Linked DNA regions of Xenopus tropicalis. The protein of the gene in region 6 interacts with the protein of the main gene of each other region in a pairwise test. Links are inferred from orthologs where the notes say so. Each region holds a gene or a part of one and is shown on either strand. Other genes may lie near its edges.

The links.
Region 1: the proteins of cep76 (region 6) and akt1 interact in binary tests that used the Homo sapiens proteins (3 or more experiments, as listed by UniProt). The link is inferred for Xenopus tropicalis from reciprocal best matches to the Homo sapiens genes CEP76 and AKT1.
Region 2: the proteins of cep76 (region 6) and pin1 interact in binary tests that used the Homo sapiens proteins (3 or more experiments, as listed by UniProt). The two-hybrid records come from large-scale screens. The link is inferred for Xenopus tropicalis from reciprocal best matches to the Homo sapiens genes CEP76 and PIN1.
Region 3: the proteins of cep76 (region 6) and rpl9 interact in binary tests that used the Homo sapiens proteins (3 or more experiments, as listed by UniProt). The two-hybrid records come from large-scale screens. The link is inferred for Xenopus tropicalis from reciprocal best matches to the Homo sapiens genes CEP76 and RPL9.
Region 4: the proteins of cep76 (region 6) and dzip1l interact in binary tests that used the Homo sapiens proteins (3 or more experiments, as listed by UniProt). The link is inferred for Xenopus tropicalis from reciprocal best matches to the Homo sapiens genes CEP76 and DZIP1L.
Region 5: the proteins of cep76 (region 6) and c22orf39 interact in binary tests that used the Homo sapiens proteins (3 or more experiments, as listed by UniProt). The two-hybrid records come from large-scale screens. The link is inferred for Xenopus tropicalis from reciprocal best matches to the Homo sapiens genes CEP76 and C22orf39.
Region 7: the proteins of cep76 (region 6) and ttc21a interact in a two-hybrid assay, tested with the Homo sapiens proteins (2 studies listed by BioGRID). The two-hybrid records come from large-scale screens. The link is inferred for Xenopus tropicalis from reciprocal best matches to the Homo sapiens genes CEP76 and TTC21A.

What each region holds. Positions count from the first base shown.
Region 1 is NC_030684.2:99,749,721-99,753,780, forward strand, and holds the start of akt1 (RAC-alpha serine/threonine-protein kinase), read right to left. Parts: upstream 2,801-4,060; 5' UTR 2,715-2,800; intron 2,461-2,714; exon of another isoform or gene 2,371-2,460; intron 2,231-2,370; exon of another isoform or gene 2,078-2,230; intron 2,040-2,077; exon of another isoform or gene 1,813-2,039; intron 1-1,812. UniProt on the Homo sapiens protein: AKT1 is one of 3 closely related serine/threonine-protein kinases (AKT1, AKT2 and AKT3) called the AKT kinase, and which regulate many processes including metabolism, proliferation, cell survival, growth and angiogenesis.
Region 2 is NC_030679.2:136,780,425-136,784,371, forward strand, and holds the start of pin1 (peptidyl-prolyl cis-trans isomerase NIMA-interacting 1), read right to left. Parts: upstream 2,801-3,947; 5' UTR 2,752-2,800; coding exon 2,694-2,751; exon of another isoform or gene 2,658-2,693; intron 1-2,657. UniProt on the Homo sapiens protein: Peptidyl-prolyl cis/trans isomerase (PPIase) that binds to and isomerizes specific phosphorylated Ser/Thr-Pro (pSer/Thr-Pro) motifs.
Region 3 is NC_030677.2:36,148,172-36,152,113, forward strand, and holds the start of rpl9 (60S ribosomal protein L9), read right to left. Parts: upstream 2,801-3,942; 5' UTR 2,766-2,800; coding exon 2,690-2,765; intron 2,615-2,689; coding exon 2,499-2,614; intron 1,158-2,498; coding exon 1,062-1,157; intron 423-1,061; coding exon 290-422; intron 1-289.
Region 4 is NC_030681.2:131,745,447-131,748,946, forward strand, and holds part of dzip1l (zinc finger protein DZIP1L), read left to right. Parts: intron 1-895; coding exon of another isoform or gene 896-1,033; coding exon 1,034-1,471; intron 1,472-2,829; coding exon 2,830-2,914; intron 2,915-3,449; coding exon 3,450-3,500. UniProt on the Homo sapiens protein: Involved in primary cilium formation. Probably acts as a transition zone protein required for localization of PKD1/PC1 and PKD2/PC2 to the ciliary membrane.
Region 5 is NC_030677.2:154,205,640-154,209,119, forward strand, and holds c22orf39 (UPF0545 protein C22orf39 homolog), read right to left. Parts: upstream 2,030-3,480; 5' UTR 1,970-2,029; coding exon 1,946-1,969; intron 1,320-1,945; coding exon 1,152-1,319; intron 652-1,151; coding exon 523-651; 3' UTR 501-522; downstream 1-500. UniProt on the Homo sapiens protein: Negatively regulates long-term potentiation and modulates adult synaptic plasticity. Stabilizes the interaction of RTN4 isoform A/Nogo-A with its receptors, inhibiting clustering of postsynaptic AMPA receptors at synaptic sites.
Region 6 is NC_030682.2:103,546,531-103,549,734, reverse strand, and holds the end of cep76 (centrosomal protein of 76 kDa), read right to left. Parts: intron 819-3,204; coding exon 680-818; 3' UTR 501-679; downstream 1-500. UniProt on the Homo sapiens protein: Centrosomal protein involved in regulation of centriole duplication. Required to limit centriole duplication to once per cell cycle by preventing centriole reduplication.
Region 7 is NC_030682.2:13,387,662-13,391,161, forward strand, and holds part of ttc21a (tetratricopeptide repeat protein 21A), read right to left. Parts: intron 3,484-3,500; coding exon 3,354-3,483; intron 2,621-3,353; coding exon 2,463-2,620; intron 1-2,462. UniProt on the Homo sapiens protein: Intraflagellar transport (IFT)-associated protein required for spermatogenesis. Required for sperm flagellar formation and intraflagellar transport.

The DNA.
Region 1 (4,060 bases), on a different chromosome or scaffold from region 6:
CAAGTACTTGACACAAAAGTCATAACAAACCAATATTCTGCTTCCTACACTGAGGTTTTGCCACAGACTCTGTACAGGAGTTGAAATGCTGATTTAGTTATATTTTCAGATTTATTTTGTTTGTTTTCTGCATTTTCCAAGCACTGCCTACTGTTGCTTTCCCTACAATAATGCAGTGCAGTTGAACCTAAGATTATTTACGAATAGGCGTCAAACCTCAAGGATATATACTTGGGAGACATGTCATACAAAGTTTTTTTCTGAATTAATTTATCCTTATGCCCAACACTATCCTACAACAATATAGCATAAACATTTCTAATAAACTTCAAAAAACTATTTTTATATGTTCTTTAAATATATTTGTGATCTAACTTCTGTATATGTGCATGCTCAGAGAAATATACCTGAACCAAAGTGGAATACAATATAAAATCAAAGCCAAATACATATTATAGGTAGAATGAAAGGTTACACTATACAAATGCACAGATAAGTTTACAGTCAAACATTGGCTTTAGCATACAAGTTACCTACTGTATATTCTGCTTAGTTAAGAGTAAGGAGAGAAGGTATTACCTTTAAATGCAGGATGCTTATAAATAATGCAGGTCAGTTGCACCGGCTCCTATTTAGCCCAGCAGCATGATCATGTTTTTAGTTGCTTCCTGCATTCAAGAGAGTTTGGTCTCCCAAACCAGCATCAAATCAGCAGTTTGGTTTTTCATTCACTGATCACTAGAAGAACAATGAACTACAATTTTTTTTTATTTAATTTTTTTTATAAAAAATAGTAGCAAAAGTTAATCGGGGCCCAGTTTATTAACCTATACTCTTTTTTTTTTTTTTACATTGTTGCAATAGCAGACACTGAATAAAATCCAGATGACTGCACATAGAAAGGACATGTCATGAAATTTTTTGTTTTTGTTTTTTTTAATTTAGCGCACTACATAAAGGTGACACACAGCATTGGACTTGTGACACAACCAAACTGTTTTTTGATGCAAATAATCTAGTTGTTTCTTGATTTTACAGGATTTCTGTACCTGCAATACTAATCTAGCTAAACCATGAGCGAACATCTTATTACTTATTCAGCTGGAAATTAATGTGCGCATAAACCCCGAGAAACATTACTGGAAAATACATTGCCTAAGAAAAACATCACAATAACGACTGGGTTAATTGTTGTGCTAAGTTACTGTGGGGAACTTGCCAAATGCCAACCACATGCTTACTGCAACCTACTTTTAACTGAACACATATATATATATTTTTCAGGTAAACAAATTTCACAATACTGCTATATTCCTCGAAGTCTGGATAGCAACAGTAATCCACAGTACTTGATTGCTCAGGCCAGAGCGAGGAAGTGTCAAACTCAGCCAGCACACCCATACACATTAGAGCATGTACACAGGAAGTGGGCACGTTTGGTGGGGGGACACACAAAGAGCACATCAGTTTCAGCAAGTAACAGACTACATACATAACACAACAGTCTAGAAGTAAAACACTATCTTGTTCAGAGATGTAAGCAAAAGAAATGCTAGTGCAATAGGATAGCTTTTGTTACAGCCCAAGGGGGATATTACTAGATTTCACCAGGGTGTCCGACCTGTAGCATTGCTTGCTGTCAGTGAATTACAACTCCCAGCAGCCTATGACAGCCTTCCGCTGCGGTGGATGTCAGAGAGTTGCCATCTTATGACAGCCAGAGGGCCACATGTTGGACAACTGAGTATATAGACTGGATAAGAAGCAAATGCAGCACATTTCTACCATCTTTATATAAATATATATACATACATGTTTTCCTGCCATCTTTTTAAAAAGCAATGCTGCCAGCCCCCCTGCAGAGCAGCCATAGTTCCAGCCACAGCCCTTCCCTGGAAATTAACACTGTTTATGAACAAACATACACACATCTACACAACAGGAACATTATACACATCCTGGGTTGCACTGAAGGCGACAGCATTGCCCTGCAGGCAGTTTGTGTAGCAAGACTACTGGGATGTGATTGATTTTTGGCGCATTTGCATCAGCTGCAGTTTGCATGCTGCTCTCTTACCGCTACCCCTCCTGCAGAGCACTAAACAACGCCAGGCCCTGACAGGGCTGTAACACTGACCAACACCCCCATGCCTCTCAGGGTATTAGGTACTGTCCTGCTTTAACCCTGTCAGTGACATAAGGCCCCCCTGGTGCATTGCGCAATGATCGATAGGGGGAGGCTTTCTGACACCTAAAGGGTTAAAGGATTATACCAATAAATGGAAGAAGAAAAAAAAAAAAGGGCGTGGGTGCTGGCAGAGGGTGGAAGACAAAGGTTAGGAAATGGAAGTGCCGGGCGGTTTGACTTACATGGATGCAAGAGGTATTACTGAGCTGAGTCTGGAAGAGGAGGGCAGCCACCGAGTTGGGAGGGGGGCTTGGGGCCTAGCGGTGGATTACAGCCAGCTGAAGCCTCACCATCACCGAGGGGAGCAGGAGAGGGAAGGGAGAGGAAAGAAGGGAGGAGAGGAGAGCAGACACAGAGGGGGAGAGGGTGGGAGGAGGAGGTGGGGAAGGATAAGGCTGCTTTTGCTTGTAGTGTTGCTGCTGCTGCAGATTCAGCCCATTGATTGCATGGAGGGATGGGAGGAACCGGCTGCTGCTGATGGTTGGCAGGAGAGTAGTGCTGCTGCTGCTGCTGCTGCTGCTGTCACCTTGCTGCCACCCTGGGATGTGGGTACTGCTGCCGCTTGCAGGATAACTGCCTCGGCTCTGCAGTCTTCAGCCTCGGATCATTCTCCTGTGCATCAGCTGTGTGTGTGCCCGTCTCTGTCTCTTCCTCCCCTGCACACAGTGAGCAATGGCTCTTCCTCCCCTGCCCAAAGCGATCCTCCCTCCTGCCTTCTCTTCCTTTCTCCAGCCGCTGTCTATGGGTTTCCCTCTGTGCCTCTTACACCCTGCCTCCAGATGACCACCGGGTCCTACCGCCCGCAGGCTTCAAAGCTGCAGCTCAGCTAGGAAATCCATCAGAGCACAAAGGGAGGAGCCTGAGCGCTGCGTGAGTAGCCAGCAGCCAGGTGAGACTTAACCCGTGTGCTGCTCTCTCCGCCAGCAGTGTGGGCTTTAGCTACAACGCGCTTTCAACGGGGCCTCACTCTTCACTATTCTATGGAAGGGCATTGACTAAAGTCGCTACGTGTATGTATATTGACACAGAGCAACTTCTATTCTATAAGCAGGCAAATACACACGCAGTAATGCAGTGCAGGAAAATCAGCTAAAATTCTTTGTTAATGTACATATAACCACCCTAAGCTTTGTATTTAACTATTGGTATTTGGCTTTTGCAATATGTGAGGGAAGTTAATAAATATTTAGGAAAACTGCGAGGCCCTGTTATCTGTATGACATAGGACTCTCCCTGAGAGTGCTGGGAGTTGTACCTCAAAGCCACATTCTTGCCCTATTATAAATTCAATTCAATACTATTTATGCTGTGTTCCTGGGCCCACTATAACAGGGTTGCCCCAGTATGGTTTTTGTAGTAATATAGTAAATAATGTATCCCCTTTTGCAACTCTGGACTGGGAGTCAAAATAGGCCCTGGTATTTTAGGTGCATAGAGGCCCAAGCAGCCCCCACCACAAGCGCAATCATTTGTGACTGTCTATGGCGACATTTGCCAGAATCCAAAGATTTCCAACCTGGGCCTGCCCTATTGTTATTCAAAACAATATTAGAAGCCACACAGGAGTTTGTTTCCATATAAAAACATAAAACTGCATGCCAGGTGCTTTTATAAAAGACTCTTGCAAATAACAATGGATGATGCATTATCATTTTTTAAAGGAGACATACTGGATAAATGGGAAAAAAACCTAATTTTGTAGGCAATTCCAAATAATATATGGTGCTGGTTTCATGGCTGGATTTCAAAACTCACCGCCCCCAGGCTGTCCCCGGTCCCACGCCCCCCCCCCCCCCCCCAGCGGTAGTGTGCAGGCGCACGGGGGGTGCGCGCATGCGCAATCAGCGGGGACAAGCATGCGCCGTGGGCCAA
Region 2 (3,947 bases), on a different chromosome or scaffold from region 6:
GACAGCTATATTGATTATAAAGTACAGCAAGAGTATCTAGTACACAGGCAGTAAAGTAAAGCCAAAGTTTGCTATGTCAAAAGAACATTTATTCCCTGCTTACGTCTATACTCACAAGCAGCCATAACTGGGTATAAAAAAAAAAGCAGGAGAATTCATAGCATAGCGTTACTCATACATTAACATATCTGCTCATTTGATCTGAGCCAGATCGGATTGTTCAGATTGACTGGCTTCTGGGCCAATAAAAAGCAGATTCTAAAATGGCCCTATGCAGACCCATTAGTCAAGGACAACATAAACGCACTAATTCAGTTCTCGTCACCATACATGCATTTATGTATAATTTTTTTGTAAATAGTGCTACTTATGAATGCAGCACTGTACATGGGCCAATAAGCTGCAAACGATCTCTCCCTACTATTATCCCCCCACCGCTACTATAGGCACCATCTCTCCCTACTATACCTGCTATCCCACAGCCCCAGTCCCTTCCCAGAGGCTATTATCCCCCCACTGCTACTATAGGCACCATCTCTCCCTACTATACCTGCTATCCCACAGCCCCAGTCCCTTCCCAGAGGCTATTATCCCCCCACTGCTACTATAGGCACCATCTCTCCCTACTATACCTGCTATCCCACAGCCCCAGTCCCTTCCCAGAGGCTATTATCCCCCCCCCCCACTGCTACTATAGGCACCATCTCTCCCTACTATACCTGCTATCCCACAGCCCCTTCCCAGAGGCTATTATCCCCCCACTGCTACTATAGGCACCATCTCTCCCTACTATACCTGCTATCCCACAGCCACAGTCCCTTCCCAGAGGCTATTATCCCCCCACTGCTACTATAAGCACCATCTCTCCCTACTATTCCTGCTATCCCACAGCCCCAGTCCCTTCCCAGAGGCTATTATCCCACTGCTACTATAGGCACCATCTCTCCCTACTATACCTGCTATCCCACAGCCCCAGTCCCTTCCCAGAGGCTCTCTCTCCCTACTATATCTGCTATCCCACAGCCCCAGTCCCTTCCCAGAGGCTATTATCCCCCACTGCTACTATAGGCACCATCTCTCCCTACTATACCTGCTATCCCACAGCCACAGTCCCTTCCCAGAGGCTATTATCCCCCCACTGCTACTATAAGCACCATCTCTCCCTACTATTCCTGCTATCCCACAGCCCCAGTCCCTTCCCAGAGGCTATTATCCCACTGCTACTATAGGCACCATCTCTCCCTACTATACCTGCTATCCCACAGCCACAGTCCCTTCCCAGAGGCTATTATCCCCCCACTGCTACTATAAGCACCATCTCTCCCTACTATTCCTGCTATCCCACAGCCCCAGTCCCTTCCCAGAGGCTATTATCCCACTGCTACTATAGGCACCGTCTCTCCCTACTATACCTGCTATCCCACAGCCCCAGTCCCTTCCCAGAGGCTCTCTCTCCCTACTATACCTGCTATCCCACAGCCCCAGTCCCTTTCCAGAGGCTATTATCCCCCCACTGCTACTATAGGCACCATCTCTCCCTACTATACCTGCTATCCCACAGCCCCAGTCCCTTCCCAGAGGCTCTCTCTCCCTACTATACCTGCTATCCCACAGCCCCAGTCCCTTCCCAGAGGCTCTCTCTCCCTACTATACCTGCTATCCCACAGCCCCAGTCCCTTCCCAGAGGCTATTACCCCCCCCACTGCTACTATAGGCACCATCTCTCCCTACTATACCTGCTATCCCACAGCCCCAGTCCCTTCCCAGAGGCTATTACCCCCCCACTGCTACTATAGGCACCATCTCTCCCTACTATACCTGCTATCCCACAGCCCCAGTCCCTTCCCAGAGGCTATTACCCCCCCACTGCTACTATAGGCACCATCTCTCCCTACTATACCTGCTATCCCACAGCCCCAGTCCCTTCCCAGAGTCTATTATCCCCCCCACTGCTACTATAGGCACCATCTCTCCCTACTATACCTGCTATCCCACAGCCCCAGTCCCTTCCCAGAGGCTATTATCGCCCCACTGCTACTATAGGCACCATCTCTCCCTACTATACCTGCTATCCCACAGCCCCAGTCCCTTCCCAGAGGCTATTACCCCCCACTGCTACTATAGGCACCATCTCTCCCTACTATACCTGCTATCCCACAGCCCCAGTCCCTTCCCAGAGGCTATTATCCCCCCACTGCTACTATAGGCACCATCTCTCCCTACTATACCACGGCCCTTTCCCAGGGGCCACTGTACTAATTTAGGCCCCACTAAGGATCTCTGAAGGGCCTTGCCTGCTTGGCTCCTGACTGAAGACCATTCCCGAGCAGGATACATACAATACATAGCCACAAGGCACCATGTTAATCACAGACACATCAGCATCTAAGCAGGAACAGATCGAACTCTGACACAAATGACACTGAACAGATAGGTGCAGATACTAGGGCACCAGTCATGGCCCCATACAGTAGCAGAAGCAGTCAATGCTTAGCATTTCTTAGTCTGTTTACAGGCGACTAAATACTATAATGCGCAATGCAAAGTGGGAATTGTAGTTCTGCAGCTTTGCAACAGCACCTTTATCAGGACGCTATGCACAGTGCAAGACACAATAAAATAGGAACAGCTACAAAGCAAACCAGCGCTGCACTAACTCTATATAACAACTGTGCCCGCTACACTCCATATACCCGAGCTTCGACTCATGCGCTTCTCCCACCCGGGCGGTAGCTTCTCCTCGTCCGCCATCTTTCCCTCCTGCGTCAGGCCAAGCCCCGCCTACACAAACCACTCCGTCAGCTCGGCGCTTCTCATTGGTTAAGTCCCTGCTAAGCTTTTAGCCATTAAGCTAACTAATCTGCCGACGACGTAGTCAGCCTGAAAACCGAAAGCAAGGGCGGGAAATGATATGCGCCCACTATTGGCTGTAACGGAATAAACGGAGTAATTAATAAAACAAGGGGCGGGGCTGAGAGGTTGTACGCATTGGCAGCAGTATGACGCATGCGCAGAAATGTGTTCGCGTCTCTCTCTATTCTTACGCATTAAAATTGCTCTCACAAGCATGGGTGGCAGGTTAGCGGTTTTTCTGCCAAATTGGGCTACTAATTTAAAGCCCTGGTTTGTTTTTAAATTACAAACCCGCCAAAGTACCGTTTTGGACTAGTTTTTGGAGCCTTGGCGGGTTTGTAGTTTGGAACCTAGCCAGTTTTTTCCCCTAGTGTGCTTGTTCCACTGCATGCTGGGTAATGTAGTTTGTAGCTAACAATTAGCCTACAACTAGGAGTAATATAAAACTACAATACCCAGCTTGCAATTGGGCAGTTTAGCCAGAGGCTCCGTTTTCTATTCCTTTTTGCTCTTTCAGGCTCAACCTGTATGTTCTGCTCCCTGCTCTATAGGGTATGTGATGTGGGGGCAGGTCTGTAGTTATCTTGGGGCTGCTGAGAGTTGTAGTTGAACGCACCCATATTTATAAGTCTGGGGTTAATGCAAGATTCTGAATCTATTTCTGTAGCGACTTCCCAGCTGGACTGGGCACAGAGGGCAGGGAATTATCAGCCATTCCAGTAACTGGGTAGTGATTATATGCTTTAAAAAGGCAGGTTTTCCCATATGTACTTTTATTTTTGTAGAATTTTTTTCATTGCACATTGGGCTATTTTTGGGTTACTTTCAAAGTGGGTTTGGACTAGTATTTCACTGGTTTTAGAACTGACTGGCGATTTGGAAAAATAAATCTGGCAATTTCACATACAACCTTCCCTGGTGGTCTAGTGGTTAGGATTCGGCGCTCTCACCGCCGCGGCCCGGGTTCGATTCCCGGTCAGGGAAAGTGTGTTTTGCTTAATTGTAACAACAGCCCTTTATTTTATTGCTCAATCGTTTTTATAACAGCAGCCATTATTAAAAAAAAGCTTGCCAGCTTTATATATAATATAGAA
Region 3 (3,942 bases), on a different chromosome or scaffold from region 6:
TTGACAAACTTGGCAGGTTGAGAGAAGGCAGGAGTCTTTGCTTTGCTGCAGCGAATCAACTCTAAAGAAGGTTAATACCAGGGATATCCCTGCATGTCCTCAGCACAAACTGAATAACCAGTTGCAATAGTTTAACAGACAAGCAATTAGCGGTCAAAAACTTGTATAGTGATTTGTCTATTGTTCTCTGCTAGTACCAGCAGCACTGGGAAACAAGCAGCTTGTTTCTAAACTAATTTAAACTCCAAAAGGCCACAGAGAATTGAAAGCGTCCAGATTTTACACTTGCCTGATCTCATGCGAACCCTGCGGATATACTTTTCACCCAAGAAGTTTCTTATTTCCACAAGAGATCCATTCTCCTGAATGACAACGTTGATGGGAAAGTGAGCATACACAGATCTCATTTTGTAACGAAAGCCCTGTAGTCAGAGAAAGAGGCAGAAATTTGATTATGAAGAGGGAATAGAGCAAAGCTTCCTGCCAAATTGTTGAATGTTATAAAACCCAGCCACACAGTGTGACTATAATACATGCTTGATTGCAATTATTTGTGAGAGGTGACAATTAGTGGGCTTATGGCACACATCACAAACTGCTATTGACATTTAACCAACCACTTGTTAATGTGTATACAGGTTTTAGCCCAAATACATATTGGCAGAAATGACAGGCAGTTGACTCTAATGTCAGTCTGCAGAGACACTTTTTTCCTCTGTGTGCAATATGCCTTATAAAACATCTGCACTTTCCTGCCAGGAAATTCCAGCAATTCTGAAAAATAAAACCAACCAATAACTGACATAATAACCAGACAGTAATTACATCAGTGAGCCTTTAGTACAGGTATATGGTACCTGTTATCCAAAATGCTTGGGACCTAGTGTTTTCCAGATAAGGGATGTTTCCATCATTTGGATCCCCATACGCTAAGGCTACTTGAATCATTTAAACATTAAATAAACCCAATTGGATTGTTTTGCATCCAATAAGGACAGCAGGCCTTCTGGACCTGTACAAAGCTAACCAATTACGCTGAGAAAAATGTTACCACCACTTACCAGTGTGACTCCTTTCACCATGTTTTGCACATGACTGCAGATGGTGCGCACTGTGGCCAGTTCTTTTCTGTTACCCCACCATTTGTCAACCCGGAGCTAAGAGTGGAGAGAAGAGGGGGGGGGAATCAAACTACATCAGTATCTAGAGACATTACTCAAGCCTGAAGGCCAACCTGGGAAAGGCACTTTTGTCTGCTCTACATGATGCTTATGGATAATAGGCTTACATTGAAACCTTATGTGAGGCCCTAACCAAATACTGGACTACAAGGAGTGCGGCGGACTTGAAGACAGTCTAAAAAAAATATATATGAAAAAGTTTCCCTGCAGTCCCAAATTTAGCCATATGCAGCTTAAAAAAAAAAAAAAAATCACTATATGCTCCACACTAAAGTTTACATTAACAGGTCAATCACTATTAAGGTGGCCATACACGGTGCTGATTCTAGCTGCCGATACCTGTCCCTTAGACCGATTCGGCAGCTTATCTGCCCGTGTATGGCCACTAACGATGGGCCTGCCCGACTGACATCTGGCCTGAAATCGGGCAGGTTTGAAATTTAGTCGGATCGGGGCCACATCAGCTCGTTGATGCGGTCCCCTAACTGGCAGCCGCCCATACCCGTTGTCCTAAACCGAATTAGCCTGATATTGCCCACCCATAGGTGGGGATATAGGGATAAGTCCTGCTTGATTTGCAACCTCGCCAAGCGAGCGGATCTTAGCATGTAAAGCCACTTTAAGGATAGATCAGCTTGAATGTTATTTTGTAGCTGGATTAACCAAACATTCTAGTATAAAACATACAAAAAAACCATAACTTTTTTTGCTAGAAAAAATACATTGGACCATAAAATCTATAAAACTTAACATAATACTAGTACCTTAAAGGACAAGGAAAGGCTAAGTCACTTGGGGGTGCCAATATGTTAAGCACCCCAAGTGACTTTAATCGCTTACCTTGTACCCCGGGCTGGTGCCCCTGTTAGGAGAAAATAGCACCAGCCCAGGGTACCCGCAGCTTCCTTCTTCCTGCTACGTTTTGCTAGGACCCCACAACCGGGGCATGCGCAGTAGAGTGAAAAGTCGACTTCTCTGTTAAAGTTCCACTATTCACTCTGCTGCGCATGCCCCGGTCGTGGGGTCCTAGCAAAACGTAGCAGGAAGAAGGAAGCGCTGCGGGTACCCTGGGCTGGTGCTATTTTCTCCTAACAGGGGCACCAGCCCGGGGTACAAGGTAAGCGATTTAAGTCACTTGAGGGTGCCTAACATTTTGGCACCCCCAAGTGACTTTGCCTTTCCATGTCCTTTAACACCTGTGTCACCAACATACCTAACCCACCATCATGCCTACATCCTGGACATTACCCTCTCTCAAGCACCTGTCCCCCACAATTACAACTTATTCAACAGTTTTAAAAAAATGTATCTACTCACCCTCCTCTTCTTCTTGCCCAGAAGACACAGCTCAACATTGATGTGGTTAAAGTTTTTCCGCAGGACACCTCTGGGCCCCTTTACAGTAACTGTACGGCCCTTCAGAGAGATGTCAACTATGAAGAGACAGTAAGTCAGAAGCGTGTAGAGAAAGCGCAAATACAAAAAGGGTCATTAGCAGAACAACTTACCATTCTCTGGGATGTCAACAATCTGGTTGCTGAGAATGGTCTTCATTCTATCAGAAATATAAAAAAAAAATACCATTATACATATAGCAATCACAAACCGCCTAAAAAATGGACACACTGACAGACATTTGTTTGACATCAATAGGCCATAGTCCTTGAACATTTACATGGGCTACACAGAAATAGCCTAATTTATTAAAATTAAGCATTTACCCAAACTGGCTCAGTGTTATAAATTACAAACTTATCCCATGCCAACAGTTGGATGCTGGGAATTCTTCCATAAAGTTCCCCCATAAAGTCCCCCACAAGCTGCAGCTATTTTTTTTTTTTTTTACAGTTATGACAAACACCAAATACAAGTCAGTATGTCAAAAGCAAAGTAACACAATGTGCTCAGCACTAAAAGTAGAAATCTCCTTAAACACACATCCACCTCTTTTGCTGCCTTCTCCCAGGATTAATGAAGCCCCACAAAACTGATGGGATATAGATCACCAGAAGAAAGGGTCCCAGGCCTACTATGAGCTGCACTGAGAGACAAAACAGCCCAACCAAGTTGTACCATCTGTGTGTGGAACCCCAAAAAGATTTTTCATAAAAGAAAACCCCTCTTACTGCAGAGAGCCATGGCTGAACTGCCATACTAGGCACTGCCAGGCCACAAGCCTCTGGAGTGTATAATCCATATAAACAGACATATTGGAACTGAAAACACTTTGCAATAATAGAATGATTCAAATCTCTCATGATTATAAGACCACAAAGCTCCATGGAAAGCCTGGACTGCGATTCAAAGCAGGCCCTAGTATTTCCAGCACCCAATGGGACCTCTACAGGGTTCCGGCAACTTATAACAGCTCTGTGGCATTTGGCAGAATTTCCACATTACTAGTCGGGGCCTTGGAACACGTAGCCTATAAAGTGCCTTAGAAAACTGCAAGGCAGCTTAGGGGCGGGCAACAAATATCCCTTATCCTCCGCTCCCTTTCAGCAAAGTGACAACATATAAAGATCGGGAGAGGGAGAAAACACTGCACATTCATAAAACGGTAACGGATGACAAAAATAGCCTCTCTCTCCCAGGATGAAATGAGATTGCAGAAGCTCTCTCGATAAAGCCGCCATATCCTCACCTCGCAGCTGACAGAGGAAAGGGAAAGCGTGTGTCGTCATTACGTTTTTATATGGCCGGAGCGCACCGCCTGGATGGGACGTAAAGAACGCAGACCCGATCAATAGATTGCTTACAT
Region 4 (3,500 bases), on a different chromosome or scaffold from region 6:
GACACCTAGTGGTCATTTATCATATAACCTATTTATTAAACAAAGAAAAAACTACAGTCGGGGTCAAAACTAGGCAGCTGCCAAGCTGCTCCGGGACTGAAAGGGGACCTGTCACCCACACATAAATAGCTTTATAATAAAAATCCTTTAAAAAATATACTTGAAACCCAAATTATTTTTTTAATTTAATCATCTATACCTGTTATAAATGTATTTAAAAACCTGAGCCGTCAATCATATATTGATGCCCTGCCTCTATGCCTCAGGCAACTTTTCATTCAGCACTTTCTAGATATCACCTGGATGGCATGGTATAAGATTTTGGGGTGATGCAAAGCTTTCCTTAATAAAAGTGTACACATAATGGCGGCTGCCTGCTGGCTGTGACTGTAAATTCCAAGACTGAAAGAAAAAAAAATGCAATAATTTCTATAGTGTAAGTAAAGTTTATTTAGCTGTACCAACATGATACAAAAGGATTTGGAATAATTTCTTAGGGTGACAGGTCCCCTAGAAGGAATCAGTGGTGCTCTGGATTGCAGAAAATTATCAAAAAGAAAAACATCTTACATCTGATTCTTTCTTTTCATTGGAGCCTCCAAAAGCAACAAATATGAAGCTTTTCTGTGGTTCAAAACTTATAGCGCCACTGATTTTTCCTAAGTTCTGCATTTGTCAGCCACTGAAAACTCTGCAAGCATTAAGGGAAAAGAGAGCAACCTGATCTTATACAATGTACACTCCCCTTGCAAGTACTTGCAGGGAGATCCACTGAGACACCCAGCCCACACTCTTAAATGGTAGGACTAGTATGTTTTGTGCATTGTATTATCTAGTTAGCAGCATTAATACAGTGCAACTAAGTGCAATTAACACTCTGATATATCTCTTGCAGCCGTTGTTCCAGAACATTTACTATCCATTGCCATCTCTATCATTCAGCACACGTTCACTGAAGATGCCCGGATACCACTCTTCCCCTGTACAGTATTCATCGCTTCCCTATGTGGTTGCAACACTGCAAAGCACTGCTATGCCAACCTTTAGATTTCAGCCGCGCAGAGATGGCATCGACTGGAGGCGGTTCAGTGCCATTGACACTGAAAGAATCACACGAGAGGTAGACATAAACACGCTTCAGGAGAGCATTAACTCCATAACCTTCTGCAATCTAGAAGGGGAGAAGTGCCCCTACTGTCAGCAGCCGGTCGACCCTGTGCTCCTAAAGGTTCTTAAGATGGCACAAATGATCATTGAATACCTACTGTATTGCCAAGAGCACATACACAGCAGGGAGGCCCAGCTAGAGGAGAGATTGGGCGAGGCAGAGGCTGAACATGAGCGCACCAAGGATGAGCTGGCCAAACAGGCTGAGGAGATGAAAAAAGTCAAGGAGGAAAGCAAGAGAAGAAAAAAGATGATTGCTACTCAACAAATGCTACTACAGGCTGGAGCTAACAACTATCATAAGGTGAGTCTATGCAATGAATCTGACAGGCTTTTTTCTTTTGAGTAGTGTCCCACATACAGTGGAACCCCCATACTACGTTTTTCAGGAGACCAGGAAAAAATTGTGGAAAATCTTGGAAATGTGACAAAGCAACTCATTCTTCAAGTACTCAAAAGATATAAGCACAGGAGTCTGTTTTAATTTTAAATTAAATATTTAAACTAGGGTTAAGCAGTGCAGCATTAATGTTACACTATGGGGCTGATTTACTAACCCACGAATCCTACCCGAATTGGAAAAGTTCCGACTTGAAAACGAACATTTTGCGACTTTTTCGTATTTGTTGCGTTTTTTTCGGCTTCTTTACGAATTTTTCGTTACCAATACGATTTTTGCGTAAAAACGCGAGTTTTTCGTAGCCATTACGAAAGTTGCGTAAAAAGTTGCGCTTTTTTCGTAGTGTTAAAACTTACGCGAAAAGTTGCGCATTTTTCGTAGCGTTAAAACTTAAAAGGTGCAAAGTTTCGCGTAAGTTTTAACGCTACGAAAAAAGCGCAACTTTTTGCGCAAGTTTTAACGCTACGAAAAATCGCCAGATTTTACGCAACTTTCGTAATGGCTACGAAAAACTCGCGTTTTTACGCAAAAATCGTATTGGTAACGAAAAATTCGTAAAGAAGCCGAAAAAATCGCAAAAAATACGAAAAAATCGCAAAATACCGATCATTACGAAAAAAACGCAATCGGACTCATTTCGACCCGTTCGTGGGTAAGTAAATCAGCCCCTATGAGTGCAGGACGGGGCCAGTGCAAGACTGCTGACAGGCAGAGGCACATCCTAAAGCAGTAAGTCATTTGTGCATAATTGTATAAGGTGCAGACTCATTGGAATTGACTATATACAGACAGAACCATGACAAGGTTTTGGATTAAAATCCAGGAAAACATTATGTAAAATTGAGGAAAAACACCCATTGTGAAATGCATTATAAACTAGTGGGACCGCAAAATGCTGTGGAAAACTTAAGATCAGGGTATTTAAAATTGAGATTTCACTGTATATAGTATTATGCAGTTTTATTTTGGAAATCATTTGGAACCCCAAGACATCCTCAGGGGGATCCCAGGACATCATCTGGTGAACTTTCCTCCCACCACTTAGGACTCTGTAACTGCAGACGTTTCAATATACATCCCTCTGGCACCTCTTAGTATGAGTTATTGCTTGCATTTCATACGCTTCTTCTGGATCCACTTGGGTTTAAAAGTCTATAGTATGGGGGTTTCTTTTAAGTGCATTGGGGCTTCTTTTTGGGGGGTGGGGGCGCCAAGTGTTATGCATGAATTTCAGGAATGTTCCTTTTCACTTCTGTTTGCAGTGCCAGCTCTGTGATAAAGCCTTCATGAACTATTCCTACCTTCAGGGACACATCCAGCGCAGACACCCTGAAATAACAGAAATTGGTATGTTGAATCCTCTTTGGAGCATCATGTACTAAAGGGGTCCTAACTTCTAAACAGAAATATCAGAATGAGCTGCTGTGTTTGTTACACCGTAGCTATATACAAAAGAGTGTGAGGGTCCTTACTAGCCTCCAGCAGAAAAAGAATAGTGGGTCAATTTCCCCAAAATTAGGTAGTCACAAAAATAGATAAAATAAATGTAAAATATTTTCTGGAAGTGGGTGTCAATTATGAGGAGTTTTGCTATTGAACTTCACAGTAAAGTTCTTATATAATGCTGTCCACCAGTAGTGATTACAGCTTTCATAACATTATATAACTTGAAGGCTGAGAGTGTCTGCAGATCAACAAAGGATACTTGTTTGTGGAAATCCCACGTTTCCATGAATTTATCTACATTAATGTTCTTCCATATATGATGCCTGGAGAACCTTCTTTGATAGCTGGATATCTAATCTGCCCTAGAAACAAAACCTGCAAATATACCCTTGCACTGGGCTCTATAAATGTGTTGGGTTTCTATATCTTTTCTTAGAGAGACAAAAGAAGAAGCAGGTGGAGCAAATGGAAGATGGCATTGAGGAAC
Region 5 (3,480 bases), on a different chromosome or scaffold from region 6:
AGTATGCTTTTTAAATTTTGACTTGCATTCTCCTTTAAGGATTAAGGACCACCTCCTGGGATCATAGGATTCACAGTGCACACAAACAAGCCAAGGCACACATACTTGCTAGGTCACATCAGTCAATTAATGGACAGAGTTCTGCCTTTTGCTTCCATACTGGTCATGTGATCTTAGGGAGCACACAGCCCATCACTAAATGGTGCATCAATGGAAAGGAAGTAAAAGGGCAATATTTACTATAATATATATATATATTCCAGTTTGCAGGGATTCTTTAATTGGTCACTTAACATAATATAATCTTTTGGTTACATATGCATTCTGGGGGCATAGATTTCCTTTAATTGCAGAAGAGACATGGGTTATGGGGGGAAAGTCATCTTACCACTTTAAAAGCGACAGTATCTCACAATGGCGTTCAAAAAATAAGCAAAATAGCACTTGCCACTCTGCAAGTTATACTATCATCTTTGCTTAACTAGGACAAACGCAACAACTTCTTTTATAATACATAATTCTTTATTGTCTAGGTTTTCTATCATCTAGTGGCAGATACCAGTCTGGTGGGGGATTTTTTCTCAATGTCCATACGGGTGAGTTATTCCGCTTGCCTTCAAGCCTTGTCCTTTCACTCTGTTGCAAAGTTTCCTGTATTAAAAGAATCATTACATCAGGTCTTAGTGCACTTAGCCACCAGCAAACCTAAAAAACAGTGCTAAACAACAAATCTCATGATGTAAACCAGGGAATCCCAATTTGTAGCATTCTGCTTTTTGCAAGTTATAAAATCCAATCACAGAAATCATAAAGGTAGGCAAGTCCTCAGCCAAACATTAAATGAGAAGTTCACCTTTCAAGTATTTTTTAGTATGACACAGATAGTGATATCTATACTGAGCTGATTTGCAATTGGGCTTAATTGTTTGTACTTTTTTCATTATCTAACTTTTTGGTTGCTAGGTTCCAGTTTACCCTAGCAACTAGGCAACAGTTTGAATGAGAAACTTGAAATATAAATAGGAAAGCCAGCCCAGCCTGCTCCTCCCGCCTGGAATACATTGTGACCATACTCCCACCCCTTTTGCAGAAGGAAGGGGGGGGTGCAGGAGCTTGTGGTGCTTATGTCCTACCCCATTTGTCTGCTGTACCTTTAGAAGCTCACTCTTTGTTTTCTCCCAGTCCCTGCAAGTCATGTAGTCTCTCTTCCATTCCTGGCACTCTGGTGCTTTTCCATGGGTGTAATAATTATGGAAGTGGTTTCTCAGACTCTTGCAGTGTTTCCATTCAGACCAATAATCATCACAGTCACGTGGTGGCTAATTGGATACAAAAAGGCCAATCACAGATTACTAAGAAAACAAAAATACACATTTATGGCTTTTCTTACCAAGTTTAAATCCAGTATTGACAAAATGGCTTAGATAAATCAACTGCTGCAGATGCAGTTTCCTCACTGCCCACAGATTAGGCAACTTCAAGTATCTTCTCACTGCAAGCAGTATTGCAACTACTGTAAATACTAAAAAATAAATCAGTTCTAAGAAAAATATATCCCAAAACAAGCTTGAATACAAATACTGATATTTTCTCTATTAAACTGCATGTCCCACCATAATACTACAGCTACACAGGCAGCATTTTGCATAGGACAAAAACACTGTAACAAGACCCCAAGGAAGCAGCCCCTGACTGCTGGAGGAATGCGCTCAGTGGCAATGGCAGCAGTTTCAACACCACATGTTTATAAAGAGGGAATATAAAATGATTTTCTGCAGGGCTTAGTAACAATCCGTCCCAATATGGTGCGCTCTTTTACAGCGTTGCTATCATAAAACCCTGAAAAAACCGCCTTAGGTGCATTAGAATGAACCCAAGATTAGATTACTTCGGGAATACTGAACACCCAGATTTAATTTCAGTTACTAATTGAAACCTCACATACCCTCCAACCACCCGTGTCAGACATGCCGCTTTCTACTGCCACACTGTCCCGCCCATCAACATGAGTCAGCCAATCGCAACGACCTACAACCTGAAACGTTTCATCTGTTTCCGATTTACAGGCTCCCAGAATCCCTTGAGCGGTGACCTCTGATTGTTGGGGGAAAGCGTGACACGATAGGGCAATAATCCTGAAGAAGGCGGGGCTTAGGCGCAATATCGCTGATACGGTGTTGAGTAGCAAATATAGTTGGTCAACGAGATTATGTGACTAACTGATGATTGGTGTTTGCAACCATCTGAGGTGACTCATGCCTGTTGATCATTTTTATTTGTTATGAGCGCTGCTAATATAATACTTAAGGTATGAGTTTCTTATCTCAGTATTTCCTTTAGTGTGTAAGCTCTTCGAACAGAGCCCTCTAATCAACCCTTTTCTGTTTATTGGGTATCTCTTGTTTTGTTAGAATACAGTTTTAAAGCAAACACAGCATATCATTTTGGTGCCATATAAATGGTGATGAAATAAAAACTCCCCTGGAAGCAAGTGGCTCACTGACTCTGTTTCCAGTTTTAATGCGTTCCTTATATGCTGCACCACCTGTCAGAAATAAAGCAGTCAGGCTGCAGAAGTCTTGAATATTTTGCTCTGATATCTCATATTCTTAATATCAATGCAAGTAAAGTCAAGTGTAGCCTGCAGTATATGCCTATAATGAGTCAGTTGTCAGAAAAAGACATATTTATTGTCCAGGTTGCCTCATTTTATATGCTGGCAGAATTAACCAGAACCTTAGTAGATGTGAATAAGAGGTCCTGATAGCCATGTTTGCTGGCACCTACTCCAAAGTAGAGACACAAAACATGATAATCTTATTCTCAAGTGGGGCATTTTTGGCCTACAAATGCTGTGCCCTAACTAGCTCACACATGAGAAAGAAGGGGGGGGGGGGGGCATGTGATGCTCATTTCACCATTTAAGCTTGTGACGCTGAACAATTTACACAAATGTGCATAATCTACACCAAAGCTGTCCAACTGGAGGCCTGTGGGCCGGATGTGGCCCCCCCCTTTTTTTTTTAAAGCTTTTATTTTGCATATTTTACATTACAAACAATATAGAAAATAAGAGAGAAAGAAAAGGAAAAAGAATTGTATGGATGGAGGTTCGTGTGATTTGCATTTAGGTAGACTTTTTTGTATAGTAAAGCAACTGCAAATAGCATAATCTGGAATAGGACCAAAGTTGTAGGTCTGCAATTACTCCTAGTAGACACAGATCAGAAGAGCGAATATTTTGAAGTGCTAGCTTATCATAAATAAATTGTAAACACCTTGCCCCAGAGAGATCCAAAAGACATGAAACAAAGTGCCAACGTCTGCTCTACATTTGGGACATTGATTAGACACATTGTTATAAATTTTTGCCAGACGATAAGGGGCGAAGACACATGGGCCGACTAGTCGGCACGACTTTTTGAAAAGTCACGGCGACTAGCCCGCGTGATGAAATTGCGCAATCGATTTGTCATGCCG
Region 6 (3,204 bases):
ATTGGCAATTTGAAGTATCACTATGCCACCGACTCGCAGTTGCAGGATGAAACCAGTTCTTGGGTAGTAGAACGATATGAATGTTTTTTTGCTTGCATTCTTGTTGTGAGGTCTCAAGCATGCCTTTATATTGTTTGGTTTAAGAAAGTAGCCCTTGGTCCTTGACTATAGCTATCAATTGAAAAAGAAGTAGTAATTCACAGCAGTTTTTTTTTTTTTTGCCACTGAAGGTATTGGTGATAAAAATACCTGGTATGCGATATCCCATACTACACTTGAAGTTTAATGCTCTACTTGTACTATTTGGGCCCCCTGCACTACAGCTTGATTACCATAGGCTGTGCATGTTAAATGGTCAAATACCCACACTACAAAACTTTTATAACCTTTTCCCTAAATGTTCTATTAATACATCAGTATTATATTCATTATTATCATGGAAAGCAATCTATGGCACAGGCATGACCTTTGATTTAGGTTTCAAATCAAGGTGCAAGGGGTCATGCTTAATACAATCCCATACACATTTTTATTTAAAAAAATAAAAATAAAATATTACATGGTAAGAAGATATGGTTTGTATAAATAACATATAAAAGCATAATTTTGAAATCCACACACCTCTAGTTAAATATAAAAGTTTGATTCAAGTAAATTTCCAATAATATTACTAAAAAGGTTATAGTACAGAACGATATTTACAAGCAAACATAATCCACACAGCACAAGCAGCTTCTGGATATGTGTAAACTCGTACACGAACAGCAAGCCTCATCTGGTCCCCACGACAGCTGATTATCTCATCACAAAAGGGAGACCTGTGAAATTTAGGAGGAAAAAATTAAACCATTGAGCGGTGGTCAGGACATCTGTAACTAAGGAGTGACAGCTACATTAAGCTCTGTACCCAAAAAGCTTTTCTTGGCGTTTCCCTGCTCAGTTTCAGACAACCTCGGGGTTATGTAAAAAAATGCACTGTTTGCCCTGGAGCAGTAACCCATAGTAACCAATCAGCAGGTAGCATTTACTGGTCACATGTATAAAAGCAAACATCTTATTGGTAGCGCTTTACTGCACCTGGGCAAACATTTAGTGTCTTACATTACATATCGGGATTGAGTGTCAGAAATGAAGCATGGAGTTGACTTCCTGTAGTCTACAAAACATCTGCACCCTATATTTTACCTCATTATGAAAGTGCTAGAACTGGCACTTTCAGGTAATTCTTACGTGAAAACATTTGTTTTCATATCAATGGACTATTGCCTGAAAAAACAGCAGAACTGGCCCATATTTTTCCACAGCAAAAAACATGGTGAGCAAAACACCTGAAAATCACCCCGTATGGCACAAGCCTTAAACTGTTGAAGATTTGTTTACTGTAAGATAAACAAAAGATGTGGAATTTAAGCTTCAGCTTAGTACTTACAACATGGGAACCATAGAAGGTAAGGCATCCATTATCCAGAAAGCTCTGAATTACGGGAAGGCCATCTCCCATAGACTTCATTTTAATAAAATTATTCAAATTTTGTACAGATATGGGACCTGTTATCCAGAATGTTCGGGACCTGGGGTCTTCCGGGTAAGGGATCTTTCCGTAGTTTAGATCTTCATGCTTTAAGATTACTAAAAAATTGTTTAAACATTAAATAAACCCAATAGGCTTGTTTTGCCTCCAATAAGGATTAATTATATCTTCGTTTGGATCAAGTACAAGGTACTGGTTCATAATTACAGAGAAAAAGGAAATAATTTCTAAAAAATTAGAATCATGTGTTTAAAATGGAGTCTATGGGAGATGGCCTTTCCGCAATTCTAAGATTTCTGGATTACAGGTTTCAGGATAACGGTTCCTATACCTGTACTTGATCCCAACTAAGATATAATTAGACCTTATTGGAGGCAAAACAATCCTTAATTAAAGTTTAAATAGTTTAGCAGACTTAAGGTATGGAGATCCAAAGTACGGAAAGATTCCTTATCCGGAAATACATCTTCCTAGCAGATGTATTAGAGATAATTCAAAAAAACTGACTGCAGCACAAACAAAATCTAACAAAATAATGGACTTTTACAAAAATCCTGCATGTAGAGAAACAGGATTTCTGTTAGACAGTTACTTGAAACGAGTGAGCTCTAATATATCTTCTGGGCAGAGAATGCAACACCCCCCAAAGTATGTATTAGACCTAACTGCCAATTAAAATCTGACTCCGACTCATGCATAAAGAGAGACAGATGCTGAGAGGGAAACACAAAATAGTACTTGATTATTTCAGAAATGATACACAATTTAATTAATTATATTCTGAAAATATCTGAAAAATGGGAGGGGGTTGATATCACTCCAACTTGCAGCTCAGCAGTAAAGTGTGACTGAAGTTTATCAGAGCACAGGTCACATGGTTGTAGCACCCTAGGAAATGAAGAATATGGCTAGTCCCATGTGAAATTTCAAATTTAAAGGAAAAAGAAAGGTAAAGTCACTTGGGGGTGCCAAAATGTTAGGCACCCCCAAGTGACTTTAACCGCCTACCTTTTACCCCGGGCTGGTGCCGCTGTCAGGAGAAAATAGCACCAGCCCGGGGTAGCTGCCGGCGCTTCCTCCTTCCGGCTTCGCTGCGCGCGCATGCGCAGTAGAGTGAAAAGCCGAACTTAAACATTTAAGTCGGCTTTTTCGCTCTACTGTGCATGCCTGGCCACCGGCAGTTTAGGAAGTGGAAGGCGGAAGGAGGAAGCGCTGCGCTCCAGGTGCCCCGGGCTGGTGCTATTTTCTCCTAACAGGGGCACCAGCCCGGGGTACAAGGTAAGCGGTTAAAGTCACTTGGGGGTGCTTAACATTTTGGCACCCCCAAGTGACTTTGCCTTTCCTTCCCCTTTAAATATAAAATAACCTGGGGTTTTGAAAGACTGATTTCAGTGCAGGATTCTGCTGGAGAAGCTCTATTAACTGATGTGTTTTGGAAAAAAAAAAAAAAAAATCATGGTTTTCCTATGACAGTATTCCTTTAAGACAGATTCATGGGCTGAAGAGGACACAGCTGGAGGGGAAGCCGGAGGAAGCAGGACGACGCTGGGGGGAGCAGGCCATAGTATGAAGACACTGGGGGAGCACCAGCAATGTTTTAGGGGTCCCTGGGCTGGCTAGCAATGTTTTAGGGGGTCCCTGCCCTGGCACCAATGCAAAACATAACCCCTGGC
Region 7 (3,500 bases), about 90 Mb from region 6:
CTTAGTGCCAAAGTATCCAATTTTTTAATCCAAAAGGTTTCCCGTTGGAGGAGCAGTCTAGACCTGTCGCCCCCTCGCTTTGGCATCGGAACATGGTCAATTGCAATATATCTAAATGTAGGTAATCTATGTCCAAACTCCAGGAAATGTTTAGCCACCGGTTTTATCGATTTATTGTCCCGATATGCTATATTAATGGCTGACCTGTGGGCATCCATACGAAGGCGCAACATGAGATCTGTTTTACCCATGTAGGATAACCCACATGGGCATGTAACCAAGTATATTACATGGGTTGTCGTACATGTAATGTGGTGACGTATCTTATATCGTTGTCCCGTATGGGGATGGGAAAAACTACCCCCAGGGGTCATAAAACGGCAGGACATGCATGAGGGACACCTAAAGCACCCTTGTTTGCCATTGGGTAACCAAGTAGGGGAACCTTTTTTAGGGAGGTAACACTTTACTGGATCACTCACCACTAACAAATCCCTCAGATTCTTACCCCTACGGTAACCAATAGTAGGTGGATTTGGACACAACCTACCCAATGTATCATCTGCCCTAATAATGGCCCAATTGGCTCTTATTACAGATGCAGGAAAATGCGAGCAACAACTATTGGAAATGAAAACCAGATTTTTACAAAGAGGTTACGATGAGTCTGTATTGAGATTGGCTCTAGCTAAAGCTAAGGAGGTGGTAAATGGTAAACGTAAGAGAGACAACAATCAGAGTGTAAATCTTGTTTTTTCCACTAGTTACAATGAAGTGACTCATAATTTGGGGAAAGTAATAAGAGCCAATTGGGCCATTATTAGGGCAGATGATACATTGGGTAGGTTGTGTCCAAATCCACCTACTATTGGTTACCGTAGGGGTAAGAATCTGAGGGATTTGTTAGTGGTGAGTGATCCAGTAAAGTGTTACCTCCCTAAAAAAGGTTCCCCTACTTGGTTACCCAATGGCAAACAAGGGTGCTTTAGGTGTCCCTCATGCATGTCCTGCCGTTTTATGACCCCTGGGGGTAGTTTTTCCCATCCCCATACGGGACAACGATATAAGATACGTCACCACATTACATGTACGACAACCCATGTAATATACTTGGTTACATGCCCATGTGGGTTATCCTACATGGGTAAAACAGATCTCATGTTGCGCCTTCGTATGGATGCCCACAGGTCAGCCATTAATATAGCATATCGGGACAATAAATCGATAAAACCGGTGGCTAAACATTTCCTGGAGTTTGGACATAGATTACCTACATTTAGATATATTGCAATTGACCATGTTCCGATGCCAAAGCGAGGGGGCGACAGGTCTAGACTGCTCCTCCAACGGGAAACCTTTTGGATTAAAAAATTGGATACTTTGGCACCAAGAGGTCTAAATGAATATTGTTCCTTCAATTGTTTCTTACCAACGAGGTAAAATGATATTATATGTCAGTAATGGTGTTTATTATGTGCATTGATAGTTTTCCCTTTAACCCTGAATCTCTGTATGGATCATGCAGGGTAGGGGTTAATGAGTAGGGTTGTGGCTATGCTGTGGGGGGAGGGGTTACTTTGGTATTGTATAAAGCTTCATTATGTGTTTGTTTTTTCATGGTTTAACATCTTGATAAAGGTCCTAGACCTGGACCGAAACGTTGATGTTTTTAATGCAACAATAAATGAATTATAAAGGATGAGGAGTGCGCATTGTCAATTGGAATGTATATATATATATATATATATATATATATATATATAGATATGTAGATGTTGATTTAATAAACACCTTTTGCTTCACATAAGACTTGTGAGTGCAGGACATTTCTATTTGCTACTATTCCTATACTTTTTGGACTGCACCCAGGCATGGCTACTGCTCTATGACGTGAGTGCCTGTCTACAAGCTGAATATATATATATATATATATATATATATAAGTTTATCGCAATAAACTTGTGATAATTTTACAGGGTGTGCCAGTCATTAAATGTTTACAGTGAGTAATCAAACTTGGCTGTGCACCCCGCAAGATATATATTTTTGCATTAGAGTGCAAGGACTGATATATGGATCATATATCCATATATCCATATACCCATCCTACGGTTCGGGGGCTGCATTAACGAGCCGATGCAGTCCCTGATCTGACTAGATTTTTTAACCTGCCCAATCGATATCTGGCTGATTTCAGGCCAGATTTCGGTCGGGCAGGCCCGTTGGTAGTGCCCATACATGGGCCGATTAGCTGTCGAATCTGTCTAAGGGACCAATATCGGCAGCTAGAATCGGCCCGTGTATGGGCACCTTAAGGTCTACTAAATAGCCAATTAAAGCCCATATTTTGCACCCCCAGGAAATATTTTTTTATGCTTGTGTTGCTCCTCAAATTATTTTACTTTTCAAGGTCCCCGGGAGCCCACTGTTGCAATATGAGTTTAGTACTGTACACTGCTTACCTTAAAGTTGTGACTGACTGCAGTTTCAAGAGACACCAAACATTCAGCAAACTTCCCCTGGCCGTAGTGAATCTGCGCCATGAGGAGGTGGAAATCCGCACAAGCAGAGTCTAATTCTATACAGCGCTGCAGGCTTCCTTGGGCTCCCTCTAAATTTCCTGCAAATGATACAGTAATACAGATTACAGTCATGTATGCATCAGACATATCTATTTCTATGGGATACCCTATAAGCTGATGCTCACTGTCCCACTTGGCATTAAAGCACAGCCCGTGTTCTGCGCTGATCACATTGGTTCTGGGCTCATCAGTGCAGCACAGGGTTTCTAACCATGATCAGTATGTACAAAGCCAAGGAAATGGTGCACAAACGAAAGCTTATTTACAAACTGAGGCACAAATACACACAAATAAATCACAGTTTTTTTACCCACTATGCATTGTTTTTCCCATATATTTTTTTTTTGTTGATTAGGGAGAAAGCAAAGCTGGGCATGAACCCTGATTTTGGCCCAGTAACTTTTGTGATGCTTACTGAGTATTTTGCCAAGAAACTTGGGAGCACCCAGTTTGCAATGTCGGTATGTGGGAGGCACTAAGCATTGGACAAAGTCCGGTGGAAATGCTATAATTTCCATGTATAAATCATACATCTATACAATGATACATGAATACAATGATGACATTTCCTTGAGATTGTTTTTACATGATGCAGAACCCTACTATCAAATTTGGTCTGGCCCAACAATACAGTGCATCTTACTTTACATGTTGTTCATTTGTAAGAAATAGAGGTGATTGGTGGATAGTGCCACCAGGGTATTTTCTGTGTGCATCTACAATGGCAAAGGATTATTATAATGTGATATAGAACATTCCATCTACACTTACCTGATAGGTACTTAATCTGGGCCATGTAGTACAGAGGTTCTGTCAGGGCTGGTGCCACACTGACCACAGGGGTGAGAATGGACAGTGCTTGTTTCAGGAGGGGTGACAGTGGCTCCCCTGGGGCTTTGGGCTTGGACACACAAAGAT